Linked DNA regions of Xenopus tropicalis. The protein of the gene in region 2 purifies or fractionates together with the protein of the main gene of each other region. This does not show direct contact. Links are inferred from orthologs where the notes say so. Each region holds a gene or a part of one and is shown on either strand. Other genes may lie near its edges. The genes, in order: vdac1 and atp5f1c.

Region 1 (4,255 bases), about 61 Mb from region 2:
ACTGCAATATCATAAAACACTGTAACACAGCGCTGGTCAATACCCAATGCAGTGTTTTATTCTTTTTCATTTCAGCTCTTAGAGATATAAACAATACAGCACATCTCACTCTTCTGTTTAAAAAAAACCTTAAAACCCTGTCCAGTAAAAGTTCACAAATGTACTTTTATCAGAAACTGATATTTTCAGCCATATAAAACATTTCTGCACAAATGAGCACGTGGAGACATTCACAGCAATGACATTTCTTTGGAATGATGGACGGTGCCAAATGAGGAGTGTCCTTCAAAGCCAGAGTCAGATGACACCTTATTTTAGAGGCACAACTCAGCTCAGCAACAAAACTAGTCTAAAAAAAAACCCCAAAAAGCCAAAACCCATGCCTTTTGCCTTTATGGGGTTTATACACATAAATTACAATTGGCTGGAGCAAAATCTTAATTATGTAATGGACATCATCCACCTTTCTGAAAATCCACAAAAGGATTATCGGTATATTGGACAGCCAGGAATGGCCCTTTTGACCTTCAGCAGAATGATTAAAGGTTGCCTATATTAATAGTGATTTATATATAGTTACTCACTTTGATTTTCAATAATAAAAGGTGTGCTTGGCTTTTCCTGGTAAGTAGAAGATAATAATGCCAGGCATTGGTACTTTGTATAGGCAAGTAAGCCTTACATTGCTGCAGTGAGTTACCTGGGCAGAGCATCAGCACTCATGCAATTAATTAATACAGATACAGGATCTATTATTCAAAATTCTTGGGGTTTTTCCAGATAAGGGATCTTTCTATAGTTTGGGTCCCCACACTTTAAGTCCACTAAAAATCATTTAAATATTAAACAAACAAATAAACCCAACAGGATTGTTTTACTACCAATATGGATTCATGCAGCTTAGTTGCCATCAAGTACAAGGTTCTGATTTATTATTGCAGAGAAAAAAGAAATCACTTTTAAAAATTTGAATTATTTGCTTAATATGGACTCTATTAAAGCTGAGATTGCCTTCCCATAATTCAGTTTTCTAGGTAACATGTTTATGAATTAGGGATCCTATACTTGTACAGCTAAAATAAGCCAGTATAATTGTATACTATATTACATACTACAGGTATGGGATCCATTAACCGGAAACCAGTTATCCAGAAATCTCCGAATTATGCCCATAGACTCCATTTTAATCATATAATTTAGATTTTTAAAATTGATTTCCTTTTTCTCTGTAATAATAAAACAGTACCTTGTACTTGATCCCAAATAAAATACAATTAATCCTTATTGGAGGCAAAACAATCAAATTGGGTTTAATTAATGTTTAAGTGATTTTTTCCTAGAGTTGAGGTATGAAGATCTGGATAAGAGGTTTTTCCATAATTTGGAACACCCTTGGTCCCAAGCATTCTGGATAATGGGTCCTATACATGTATAATTTACTGAGCATAATATAAGTTCCTTGAGCTAGACTTTACCAAGCTGATTTACTTACACAGGTGCTAATTTCCACCAATACAGTTACCCATAGCAACAAATCAGATATTTGCTTTCATTTTCTAGCTAGCTTATTGATTGCTTGCTAATGCTATTGACGACTGTGCCTGTGGAATTTAGTAAATAAGCCCCTAAATGTAAGTTTCAGTCCCAATGACTGAATATCCGCACATTGCTGTAATGTACACCTTATATTATAATGGTTTCTTGTTACATTGACGTGTATGTGTAAGACTGATGTTCCCACCAATTGGGGGAGGAAAAAAAAAAAAAGCGGCACTGTCCACTAAAAATACCTCCATCTCTTTCATGATGCTTAGGGCCGGCTCTCATGGAGCCTGGTGCAATCATGCATTAGGATACATACACTGATGGCTTCCACAATAAAGGTCACCTTCCGCTCAAAAGCCTGTGTGTGTGTGTAGTACAATATTCATGTAAGCAGTATATTCCTAGCGGCAGCCATTAATGTTTTATTAGGGAAATTCCTTATATACACAGATATTTTATCTTTTTTTGGACATTTGCACAAGCTACCAAATCTACTATATGGGAGTATTGTACATATTATCCCACTTATACATGCATCTGACTGAAACCATTTAAATGTTAGAATGAGGGACAGTCCTGTTTGTCACAGACATGTACGTACTGTATATATATATATATATATGTACTATATATATATATATATATATATTATATACACACATACATGTGTGTGTAGATATATATATATATATATATGCAACAATACCAGTTACAGTATTTATAACTGTACAATGAACATTATAAGGAGATATAATATAGATAAATATATGTATGTATATATATATATATATATATATGTGTGTGTGTATGTATATGTATGTATATATATATATATATGTGTGTGTGTATGTATATATATATTATCGAACACGAACATTATAAGGATATAATAAAGGGTGCCATTATTAAAGACCAACGTCACATGAATGTAGTAGATATATATTGGTGCGTAGGATGAATTTTGTTCCACATTATGAGGTCCCAGCTCGGTGTATACAGAGAATTAGTGGCTAATCCATACGGACAAGGGGTGTAAGCCAGGGCCGGGCGTATTACCCATGATGCATTTGCGCACTCAGCACCGCGCTACGGGCTAACGATGGATGAATTAAAGTCGCCATCACGGAAGCAGCCAGCGGGCTGCCGTACACTGTGCAATATTACGCAAAGGTCGCCCTTCGCTCTTGGCCTCCTCGCTTAGCGGTTATTTACAAAGGCATATCATTCTGCTCAACGTGTATCGTCGCACACATCAGTATCTACAATCACGGACTATTTGAATGACGGCAGGTTTCGGGTTAAAACGTGGGTTTTTAGCTGGGTTTCCACCTTACCTTCCTAGCTGAGAGGCTGCCTGCTGCTGCTGCTGCTGGAGAGCTGAGTGACAGTGCAAGGGGAGCAGGGGGCGGGGCACCGCGGAAAGCTCAGGGAAGGCGCTGCTGACGTCACCGCCACGCCCCCTGGAACCTGATCCCACAGCCCTGACCGCTGAATGAGGGCTAGTAATGGGCTGCCTGCTAATGGCTGGCTGATACTAGTGCCTGCTAATGGCTGGCTGATACTAGTGCCTGCTAATGGCTGGCTGATTCTAGTGCCTGCTAATGGCTGGCTGATACTAGTGCCTGCTAATGGCTGGCTGATACTAGTGCCTGCTATTGGCTGGCTGATACTAGTGCCTGCTATTGGCTGGCTGATACTAGTGCCTGCTAATGGCTGGCTGATACTAGTGCCTGCTAATGGCTGGCTGATACTAGTGCCTGCTAATGGCTAGGTGACTCTAGTGCTTGCCCAGTACATAAATAGATGTTAGCCTCGTAGTCCCTTGAACTGGTAGGGAAAGGCATGTTATTGTGCAGTGTGTATTATTAGTTCACGGCAGCCCCCTCCCCGCACGCTGGATTTTTCCTCACAGCTGCTGCTTGACCTCCTGTGTTCTATAAATGGCGACTGGAAAGAATACCAGTGCTAGTCTGTATATTTGGACGACAGGCCGCCAATGTGCTTTGTGCATTAATTATGTCAAAAGACGGTTCAATAAAATGTTATTTTTTTCTGTGCTGGTGACTTGGCTACGTCCCACCCGTAATAAAGATTATGTCTGATTTTATCAAGGGCAGTCACCAAATCACATTAATATGTGAACAGAATTTTACACAACAAAATGTATTAAACATATTACAGCTACATGTGGAGTAGTAACTGCACACATCTGGCACTGAAGGAACTATTGTAACAATAATAAGGGGGGGCATTATTTTTGTGGAGCCCCTTTGTAGCTCTCCATCCATTTAGCACACAGGCCTGTTACAGCTTAGGAGATCAGCCTGGGTATGGCCATTGTTAGTTTACATACAAATTACAATGTGTAATTCCAATACTGTAACACAATATAAGACTCTAAACAAATATATATACCCTGATATTGACTGGGGCAATAGTACTGCCAGGACAGTAAATGGGAACAAGTTTATAAACTTGCTGCATGACAACTTTATGTCACAGGTTGTTGAGGAGCCAACCAGGAACCATGCTATACTAGATCTAGTGATCTCTAATGGCCCAGAACGTATAGCAAATGTGCAAGTGGTTGAACCCCTGGGTAATAGTGACCATAATGTTATTTCATTTGATGTTTGGTGCAGGAAACAAATTTACACGGGGGCAACAAAGACACTGAATTTTAGGAAGGCAAATTTTAGCTCCTTAAGGG
Region 2 (4,389 bases):
AATCAAATGAAATTTTTTCCTAAAAAGGAGCATCAGCCAAGGAAAATAACTTACAACACTGCACTGCCATCTTACCTTATTTCCAGGTGTCCCTGGCTTGGGCAGCAAAGTAAGTTTTTGACTTTACTCTTAGTGCTCATGCGCAACTCTCAGCACTATGAACTTTTGAAAAAGGAAAGTCAAACAGCAGTGCTATGTTAATTTTTCCCTGGGATGGCGCACTTCCTAAAATGATTACAAAATCATTTATAAGTGATGAGAATTTCTTTTACATTACCAGTGAGCAATACTTACTGTCCTTTAATGTTGCCATGTTCCTGACCTGACCCTGGCCCCTGCAAAAAGGAGGAAAAAACTTTGAATAATGCGATACCAGTCAGTGATAAGACACATGGCTGTAATTCCACCCGCTATGGGAGGTAAGGTGGTTGTGAGCCTAGAGAGCAATCTTTACAAAAGCTTTTTCTATTTTGTAATCAGTGGTAGAGCAGCGAAAACTATTTTGAAGGTTGTATTCCACAGTAAAACACCCGCCAAGGAATGCTTAGCGCCATCTTTCATTTTAGTAGAGGAGTTGAAGTGAATGCAGAGCAGGGCTCTCATCAGATGCAGAGTGATGCAGGAGTCATCCGGACCTAGCGCCAGTATAGGAGCCCCAGTGAATAAATTGGTGAGAGGATTCCATCACTTGGAGGGAAAAATTAAATTAAGCTGAGAAGGGTGGAGGGGGACACCACAGAAATAATGCCTTTACCCAAAAGTGTCCTGACACTCTTTGTGGGATAAGTGCTAACTGTATCATCGGTCTGAAAGACCTTAGACTATCAGGTCCCAACAATTTTGATCTATTGTATATTTATACAGAAGAGTTTTTCAAATCTGTATACATGCATGTAATGAATTTATTTTGCAGTTTTACAGGAACTATGGGACTTTTGGGCTGTTTTTATTGAGCTTTTTAAGAAGAAACTGCTGTTCTCTTAATGTAATTGACATTCATGCATATAAGCAATCATATTATGCTTTTAATTAATTTTCTAGCTGGCCAGCTTTTAATGTGGTGAATTCATATATTTTTTTTATCGTTATAAGGCAATAAAAATATTAGTGTGTATTAATTGGTAATTAGATTTTTAACTACACCATATCTTCTTTCACAGTAAAAAGGAGCTGGGTGCAACATTTTAAACCAGTGATTTCTTAGGGGGACTACCCCCCCCCAACAGGTGCCTGGACCACTGACAGGGAAAACTCAGCCAGAGGGCCAATTAAGGGAAGCTTTATTGAGAACGTCTACCTACTTGCTTAGAAATATACAAAAGCCCAGTTTGAAGGTCAGTTGGGTTATTTGAGGTGGCAGTACCAAAATCACACCAACTTTTAACTCCCCTAAAAAAAAATACTTTAACAACGTGACTTAAAAGTTCTTCTCTTACAAAACACTTTGTGATAGTGGATCCTAAAGATGCAAAAGTATCAGGGAATGTCCAACTAGTGCAGACCAAACTGTCTGCACACAAGTGGCTTACACCTGATCCCCATGGTTGGGGGGGCTGTCAGTTTTGAATACCTTTTCTCTGCCATTATTTGCCAAATTCTGTCTGCGGCATGAGATAAATCTAATGTCTAGGTTACATTAGAGAAACATAAGAATAGAATCAAGTTATGTCATGCAGGAATTACCAAGGTCCCTCTGAAAATTATTAGTTTATTTCTAAAATGCTTGGGCTTAAAACTTAATAGCCTTATTATAAAACCATGCCGGTTGTTTTAAGTTTACATTTCGTGGGATCTCAACCATTTGCTTAAATCTAATAAGTTACTAAAGCAGAATTCTGTAAAGGAGAACACACTGAGTAGATATTCACAAGACATGGCAAGGTGACCTCTGCACTTTCACACAACCATAAAGTTGGATACAATAAATATATACATATTCTGTAACAAAAATACTAGTTATTTTTTGTTAACTTCCTTATTAGTAAGAGCGTTACTATCCTTTAAATAGCAATGAATGCTCACTTGACAGTAGAAATTTTACATGTGTCCATAGAATAAAGTATCTGTTCTGTTAAAAAGTGTTGACAGCAAGAGGACTGCATGTTGGACAGCTCTATGCACTGTGCCAGAGGCTGGGAGTTGTAGCTGAACAACAGGTGAAGGTCATGGGGGGTTAATATGGCACTGATACTATTGAATAGAGTTTCGCTCTAATATTACTAATATTACTAAGTAATAAAGCGACGGCTTGTGATGTAGCACATAACATTATTTAGCACCATTATATGGGAACAACTTGACAAGCGTCACTTAATCATGTAAAAAATTGACAGCTATTCGTTTGACCTCCTCCCGCCTTTTATATCCAACATGTTAACCATCCTTCAGGGGGACATATTCGAACCCCAGATCCCCATTTCTACACTACCGTGTAGTACCCTGTTTCATGTTATTGACAGGGACCTTCCCAAGAGCCCAGAACAATCTACTCCAGGAGTCACACAAATACTAAATTACGGCTAAAATGCAATGAATGATGATGCTAGGGCACAGCGCTAAATGTTGCACATTTGTACTTCACTCCCAGTTGTATGATAGCCCTGACAGGCAAGGTCCGGCCGCGGCCTAGCAGGGTGAGAAATGAATATAACAGCCACTATAGATTGCGGGCTTCCCCACACCGACTCCCTGTCACTTGTTCCCCGCCACCCCCGTGTGTTGAGGGACACAAACAGTTTGGAAAGCCAGTCTCACCATTGTGACTGCAAGATGAGGACGCTGCTCCGAGACAACATGGTGACTGCAGGCAAGGTCAGTCAGCGCAGGACGCGCATGCACGGAACCGGGGCTGGAAAAGCGCGCAGCGGCCGGAAACCTCGCGATACCGCGCCATATCAGGTAAGGGCAAACCCTTTAAAAGTTATTGGTCTTCTTAATGAATTGTCCCTCCCCCAGTTATCTGAGCGGTTCAGTGCCGTAGGGACTGCTGACGTAGTTCGCGTTGCTTGAGGGACTGGGGCTGATTTCTGGTTCAGCTGCCGGAGAGCAGGCTTGGCCATGGGGAAAGCAGACTTCCTTACTCCGAAGGCAATCGCAAATCGTATCAAATCGAAAGGACTCCAGAAACTGCGATGGTACTGTCAAATGTGTCAGAAACAGTGTCGGGATGAGGTGAGGAGAAGGGAGACGGCAGTAACAATAAGGAAGTGTTGTTTATGAGGCGCAGCATGTATAGTACAGCCGTGCACGCTACAAGACTACTACAATGTTGCGTTATTAATTCAACTATTCAAGTCTGTTGGGGGCGGAGAGATGGCTGCTGTTTTCTTTATAATATGCAGTTCTGAAATCAGTTGAAGCATTTTGTATAGACTTGGGCTAAATACAGCAGCACCCACCGTAGTCCTGTTCGGGTAAACCCAAAGAGGATTTTACATCAGTATCATGCGTTGTGGACTACACTGGTTGTGAACTGGTTTCTTTTTAGCCTTTGTTTATCATATGACGCTTACAGTCTAACTTCGGGATCCACAACTTTTTTTTACCGGCGAGCCACGTTCATATGTAAAAAAAATGTTGGAGAGCATCACAGACATGCCATATTTTCCAAGGGGTGCCAATAATGGTCTCTAATTGGTTATTTGGTAGCATCTACAGTGGTGTGAAAAACTATTTGCCCCCTTCCTGATTTCTTATTCTTTTGCATGTTTGTCACACAAAATGTTTCTGATCATCAAACACATTTAACTATTAGTCAAAGATAACACAAGTAAACACAAAATGCAGTTTTTAAATGAGGGTTTTTATTATTTAGGGAGAAAAAAAATCCAAACCTACATGGCCCTGTGTGAAAAAGTAATTGCCCCCGGAACCTAATAACTGGTTGGGCCACCCTTAGCAGCAATAACTGCAATCAAGTGTTTGCAACGAGTCTTTTACCGCGCTCTGGAGGAATTTTGGCCCACTCATCTTTGCAGAATTGTTGTAATTCAGCTTTATTTGAGGGTTTTCTAGCATGAACCGCCTTTTTAAGGTCATGCCACAACATCTCAATAGGATTCAGGTCAGGACTTTGACTAGGCCACTCCAAAGTCTTCATTTTGTTTTTCTTCAGCCATTCAGAGGTGGATTTGCTGGTGTGTTTTGGGTCATTGTCCTGCTGCAGCACCCAAGATCGCTTCAGCTTGAGTTGACGAACAGATGGCCGGACATTCTCCTTCAGGATTTTTTGGTAGACAGTAGAATTCATGGTTCCATCTATCACAGCAAGGCTTCCAGGTCCTGAAGCAGCAAAACAACCCCAGACCATCACACTACCACCACCATATTTTACTGTTGGTATGATGTTCTTTTTCTGAAATGCTGTGTTACTTTTACGCCAGATGTAAC

What was found.
Region 1: the proteins of atp5f1c (region 2) and vdac1 fractionate together in Homo sapiens (co-fractionation; 3 studies listed by BioGRID, with this or other methods). This does not show direct contact. The link is inferred for Xenopus tropicalis from reciprocal best matches to the Homo sapiens genes ATP5F1C and VDAC1.

The regions. Positions count from the first base shown.
Region 1 is NC_030679.2:22,875,791-22,880,045, reverse strand, and holds the start of vdac1 (voltage-dependent anion-selective channel protein 1), read right to left. Parts: upstream 2,899-4,255; 5' UTR 2,880-2,898; intron 1-2,879. UniProt on the Homo sapiens protein: Non-selective voltage-gated ion channel that mediates the transport of anions and cations through the mitochondrion outer membrane and plasma membrane.
Region 2 is NC_030679.2:83,761,898-83,766,286, forward strand, and holds the start of atp5f1c (ATP synthase subunit gamma, mitochondrial), read right to left. Parts: upstream 2,868-4,389; 5' UTR 2,796-2,867; coding exon 2,755-2,795; intron 336-2,754; coding exon 295-335; intron 1-294.